2 linked regions of the Danio rerio genome follow. The protein of the gene in region 2 interacts with the protein of the main gene of each other region in a biochemical or structural test. Links are inferred from orthologs where the notes say so. Each region holds a gene or a part of one and is shown on either strand. Other genes may lie near its edges.

Region 1 (2,830 bases), on a different chromosome or scaffold from region 2:
GAAACTATATTCATATTGCAAAATATAAATCACAGAACAATATACATGCATACATACATACACACACATAGATACCACACACCAAAGATGGACAATATTGGTAAAATCTGACATTGTGATATTTTGTTTTCTGCAATTTATATTTAGTATATATATCATTTTATTAGGTGATTTAAATACCTCTATTTGGAAAGATTACATCAATTTAAGTCGACTGGAATGATCTTATTTTTTATTTATGCAGTGGAGCTACAAAAATTATAATAAATTAAAAGCTAAATAAACTGCTAAATGGGTTTTATGGGGAGTATTTAAGTACAGAAATCAAACAATCAAAAGTAAAATAACATGGCCATCATTGTATAAATAAAAAAAATAATAAAAAACAAAACAATAATGTAAAAAAATGGCAAAGAAATAAATATATAAATGAATATTTTTTTAAATAGTTTTAAAAACAAATTATTTAAAAATAATAATAATTAATAAACAAAACAATTAAATAATAATAATAAAAATAATTAAATATAAATATATCTTTTACAAATATTGTAATATAAATGCTCAGATAAATGCGCATTCTGCCCTGATTTGCACAGTGTGAGCATTTTTCTGTCGTCAAGGTAAAAAGAGAAACTTACGGGTTCTGGATGTTGGTCCTCATTTTGGTTCTGCTGGTTCTGATTGACCTCGGGTGCTGGCTCATTTTGAGGCCTGGCTTGAGGCCTCTGTCTGAAAGGAAACCAGCCTGCTGTGTGTCTGAAACAGAAAAAGAGAATCATTAGAATAAATGACAAAAACACATTCATGCCTTTATTTCCATTAAAATGACACCATCAAGTTTTTAAAAAAAGTCAGCCCGAGCTAATTGTTTATTTTGTAGGGTGAAGTCAAGTTTGCATGTTAAGGCCATCACACACTGAACACCCTCAGATCAAGCTAATGATTTCTGGACTGCCACGCACTGGTGTTTAAACTAGTCAAACTGCCACGTTAGCAGAGATAAAGCATCAGAAGTTGATTTTTAACACTCAGTTCTAACAGTTGGAGATTAGCGAAAGAAGTCTCAGAAGGCCCTCAAATGCAGGCATATGTCTTCTTTCTGATCAGAGAGAGCCTGATAATTTCTGCTCGCCTTAACTGCTCGTTGCTTTCATATTGCTCAGGAATGCGTGTGTGAGTTTGTACACCAACAAATGGCTCACTGCCTGAAGTTGCGTAACAGAGTGAAACTGTGCTTACAAATTAAAGAATCTCGCACTTGTCTTTTTTTTCACCAACGAGGACAAAACAATACTGAAACCCTCAGACCTTCAGTGGCACCACAAAACAAAACAGAGCAACCAATTCCTCAAATATCACTCCTTTTAACTAGTTATTTTTAGAGAAACAAAAGTATGAGCATAACTACTGCAATCCAGTTCCTAAACAAATGATTCCTATGAACTGATGCTTTCTGATGAATTGAAATAAAGTTAAGCCAGTGTATTTCAGTTCCTTAAATTACATTGATTGGTCTATTATTGTATTTTATAAAATTAAAAACATACAGAAAATGACTCTTGTGAACTAGTTGGTGACTCAAAACCACTTCTATTTTACTAGTACAATACTCAAAAACACTAAACACGAGTTATTGAATATTATATGAATGAATGACGTTTTGTAAACTTACAGGTACATAATAACCAGGCTGCTCATGACCAGGATGAAGCGGCTCATGCTGGAATAGAAGTATACAATGCTTAGGAAGACACCCAATCGTGATGCTGTGTACATCCAGTCCAGCCAATCTCGGTTCATGTCCTCCTCATCTTCGACCACAGGCCCACCCTGGGCATTCATACGGAGATTTTGATTGGCTCCCTCTGGGTTGATGAAGGCAGGTCCTGGGGCATTCTGATTGGCTGGTAGGTCATTGATGGGGCCTTGATTGGGTAAAGCTGCAGGTACAGCAGCTTGATGAGGGCCAACAGGGAGCGAGGAAGCGGCAGCAGGGGTGGTCATTGGAGCCGAGGCAGCGGCTGCCATTGCAGCTTGACTGAAATAACACATTACAGCATTTAAAACAGTGTACATTCACACTTTCAATATCTTTTACTAGAGCCCAGGCTGCCTCATTACACACGAACCAAAATTGTCAAAGTTTTGACACTTTCCTTTAATAAAAAAACCCTTCTGCTGTCATTAAAAGCAGGACAGTCCAATAGAATGCGTTTTACAGTAATAGTAATTGTGCAAACAAACACTGAGTGGGGTCTTTATCTTTAAGCCTGTGCTTAGAATGCAACTTATTTTACAGTAAATGCTGTTTAACTTAATCTCTGTATGGAAAGTGTTGAGTTCAGTTAATATATAATGCTAAATTGAAAACGCCTTGAGGGTTTTCACCATAAAGCAAATAGCATTCAAAAAATAAAGACATTAAAGTAGAGCCATTTAATTAAATCAGATTAGTAATGAAATTTTACACTTATTTAATGTTATCAGTTATCATTTGTTCCTTCTTAAATATTATTTTTGTAATAATGAAAAATTGTAATATTAATTAATATATAGGGATTCTTTATTTCATACTTTTGGTCAAACAGCAAACCCTTTCAAACAAGCAGAACCTAGATCATTTTAAATAAATAAATCACATTTTAAAACTGCAATATTATTTGTAGGAACCCCCCTCAAAAAAGTAGACCGTTAAATAATATTTTAGCTAAAATCATGGTTCTTAGTGATTCATCAGTGCCATTTTGTGAATTGTCAATGACCACAGTTTTTAATAGTCTGCTGAATCTTCAATGTCCTGAAGTAAACAAAATTTACATCAAATATT
Region 2 (3,662 bases):
GCTGAGTTATAAGCAAAACTACCTTCTGTCACTAGGTGGCACTATGACTGACTCAATATTGGCATTTAGATGTCTTCAGGAGAGGAATTTAATCAACCATGTGAAGTTTCAGGCAGATCAGACATTGTGTGGTTGAGTTATAAGGACTTCCTTTTTCATGGCGAAGCGTTGAGGTTTGTCATGCCACCACATACACGCCCCTCTGCAAAAACTCTAGATCTTCACAATATATCATCGCTTGAGCTGTCAGATACAAAACTAACCAAATTTGGTGCTGATATGAAAAAATTTGTGGGATGAGTTTATTACTTTGTAAATCATGACATTTTCTGTGGCCAGCAGGTGGCGCTATAACTGTATCTGGATATCGGCATGTAAACTTGTTCTGGTCTGGACTTATATTAAACATGTGGATTTTGAGGCAGATCTGATAATGCATATTTGAGTTATAATGACTTCCGGTTTTGTGGCGAATCGTTAAAGTTTGCGAGGCCGCCACGGACACGCCCATCGACAAAACCTCTAAAGCATCGCAATTTAACATCGCCAAGGCCTTTAGATGACAAAACCCAATTTTGGTGTTGATCGGATAAAATCCCTAGAAGGAGTTCGTTAAGATACAAAGCCTGGAAATGGCAAAAATGCCACTTATTTGCCGCAGGAAGTTAAAAATATCCGACTTCCTGTTGGGTTTGAGATATGGCTCCAAGAGACTTTTTCGTATGTTTTGGCGTGTTTAAGGTGTGTGCCATTTTTCATGCATGTGCGTGATTCGTAGATCAGGGGCTCGTCCGTTTAATTTTTATAGGTGGCGCTGTCGAGTCATTTTGCCACGCCCACTTCATTATTGTTATGAGGATGTGTTCAGGAGAGGACTTTTATCAACCATGTGAAGTTTCAGGCAGATCGGACATTGTGTGCTTGAGTAATAAGGACTTCCTGTTCCATGGCGAAGCGTTGAGGTTTGTCATGCCGCCACGGACACGCCCCTCTGCGAAAACTCTAGATCTTCACAATATATCATCGCTAGGGCTTTCAGATAACACAACCCAAATTTGGTGCTGATACGAAAAAATTTGTGGGAGGAGATTGTTACGATGTAAAACATGTCATTTCCTGTGGCCAGCAGGTGGCGCTATAACTGTATTTGGATATCGGCACGTAAACGTGTTCAGGTCAGGACTCTTATCAAACGTGTGAATTTTGAGGCAGATCGGATAATGCATGCCTGAGTTATAATGACTTCCTGTTTTGTGGCGAATCATCAAAGTTTGCGAGGCCGCCACGGACACGCCCATCGACGAAAACTCTAAAGCTTCGCAATTTAACATCGCCAAGGCCTTTAGATGACAAAAGCCAATTTTGGTGTCGATCGGATAAAATCCCTAGGAGGAGTTCGTTAAAATACAACGCCTGGAAATGGCAAAAACGCCACTTTTTCGCCGCAGGAAGTCAAAAATATCCGACTTCCTGTTGGGTTTCAGATATGACTCCAAGAGACTTTTTCGTATGTTTTGGCGTGTTTGAGGTGTGTGCCAATTTTCGTGCATGTGCGTGATTCGTGCATCGGGGGCTCGTCCGTTTAATTTTTCTAGGTGGCGCTGTCGAGTCATTTTGCCACGCCCACTTCCGAAGCCCATAACAAACGTAAATTTTCGCCACTTCTGAGGCGTGTGCAAAGTTGCGTGAGTTTTCGGGCATGGTAAGGCCCTCAAAATCGCGATTCATTCCGGAAAAGAATAATAATAATAAACGGAGCAATTCCAATAGGGCCTTGCACCGTTCGGTGCTCGGTCCCTAATAAACGGAGCAATTCCAATAGGGCCTTGCACCGTTCGGTGCTCGGTCCCTAATAAACGGAGCAATTCCAATAGGGCCTACGCACCGTTTCGGTGCTCGGTCCCTAATTAAATATTTAACAACAATGAGCTTTAAACAACTTATCGACTTAATCACAGAGGTTTTTCCATATTAAAAGAAATGTGTTTTCTTTTTAAACATTTATTTAAATGTATTTTAAAATACACAAAAAAAGCAAACATCTGTTTTATAAATAGAAATTTTTGAATTTATCTAAAATGTTAAACATATTTCACATACATTTTATATTTTTAAACATTTTAAATATGTTTACTTAATTATTTTCTAAAGAAATTTTTCATTTAATTTCTATAACAATAAAAGCAAGAAAAATCTTTTTTTTTTCAAATGTTCTTCTTTATTATGCTTTTTAAAAATTGCATTTTAAATTCATTATTTGAATATAGGACTATTTTAAATTTTATTTTGGAACAATTATTTTAAAATGACAATTTAATATTGTGCTCTATACAAAGTTTTTATAATAAATTTCTGACTGAGATGTCTGTTATTTCCACTGCTATTTATGTAATAGGCATTTATAAAGTGCATTTATTCTGTATGGCCATAACAATCATGGGGGGGGGGATCTCTCCACACCACCACCATTTAGGAGAACTCTTAGTGGTAGGATAAAATGTTTTGTGAATACAGGCCCTAGACTATTTTAGATTTTTTTTTGTTTTTTTTGTTTTTTTCTATTTTAGATTGGTTAAAGACCTCCCACAGTCCATCTGATATTTTACAGCAACCTATCACAGTTCATTCTGTTGGGAATTAAAGGTGTACAATTTTATGTCCCTACAAAAAAAGACCAATGTGAAAACTCCTTGCATATAGTTTAAATAAATAGTATGTTCTTTTGTACACTAAATTTGTAAAACAGTATTTACCATTGCAAGCGATAATCATCAGTTACAAAACCGTTTTTTTCATATGAGGGGGGATTGCCATCATAATGGATTCGTTTAAAAAAAGTGCAAAACAAATGTCTCATTCAACCAATAACTTGAAGAACTTGAAATGTGCTCAGGCATTCATTTAGCGGTCTGTGGGTGTAATGTCTGAGGCTGAGACAAACAAGTTCACATGCACACAAACTTACTTCGACTGCCATAAAGGAGAGTGTGTGCATACCAAAGGAAAACCCCAGCAGTACGCATATGATGGTGAGCCCCCCAGAGGACACAAACAAACACATCAACACCAACAACAAATGCATATGGCTTCCCAGTGCCGTGCTGGAGGGGGAAGATGAGAGCTATAAAATACAAACAAACAACATCATAGTCAAATGATGGCTACAGATTATACAATAAATTACTCTAAGACTGTTTTCATTCATGATGTTGTTGTTGTTGCAGGAGTAAAACCATTCAACATTACTGTCCAATTGACCACTAACATGGGAAAAACACAGCATAATTTTGTGTAATGATGAAACTAAGTTGAGAAGTTGTCTAGTAAACAGACTAGAGTTCTAGGGCTCTAATGCTATTTATAATGTCCAACCTGAAATTGATATGGACTTTGGTGGTGGTCACATGGCAGGTCATCTGTGTTTTGCACAGGATTTTCAGTATTAGGTATCTGGACATCCACTGCAAATAATATATTTACTTACAAACTCAAAACGATCTTTGCAGAGCTGTGCCAACAGCTGGAGAAAAAGAAGAGCAGAGAAGCACAGACACCACATGGCCATCTCTCTTTCTGTCCGTACATTCAGCACACCAAACAGAAAGATCAGCTTGTTGAATAGAAAGTTCCAGGTTTTGTCCTTGAGGTTCTAATAGCAGGAT

What was found.
Region 1: of the proteins of amfrb (region 2) and herpud1, one has a biochemical effect on the other in vitro, tested with the Homo sapiens proteins (6 studies listed by BioGRID and IntAct, with this or other methods). The link is inferred for Danio rerio from reciprocal best matches to the Homo sapiens genes AMFR and HERPUD1.

The regions. Positions count from the first base shown.
Region 1 is NC_133193.1:18,988,557-18,991,386, reverse strand, and holds part of herpud1 (homocysteine-responsive endoplasmic reticulum-resident ubiquitin-like domain member 1 protein), read right to left. Parts: intron 2,042-2,830; coding exon 1,676-2,041; intron 760-1,675; coding exon 642-759; intron 1-641. UniProt on the Homo sapiens protein: Component of the endoplasmic reticulum quality control (ERQC) system also called ER-associated degradation (ERAD) involved in ubiquitin-dependent degradation of misfolded endoplasmic reticulum proteins.
Region 2 is NC_133182.1:35,358,150-35,361,811, reverse strand, and holds part of amfrb (E3 ubiquitin-protein ligase AMFR-like), read right to left. Parts: intron 3,650-3,662; coding exon 3,485-3,649; intron 3,122-3,484; coding exon 2,966-3,121; intron 1-2,965. UniProt on the Homo sapiens protein: E3 ubiquitin-protein ligase that mediates the polyubiquitination of lysine and cysteine residues on target proteins, such as CD3D, CYP3A4, CFTR, INSIG1, SOAT2/ACAT2 and APOB for proteasomal degradation.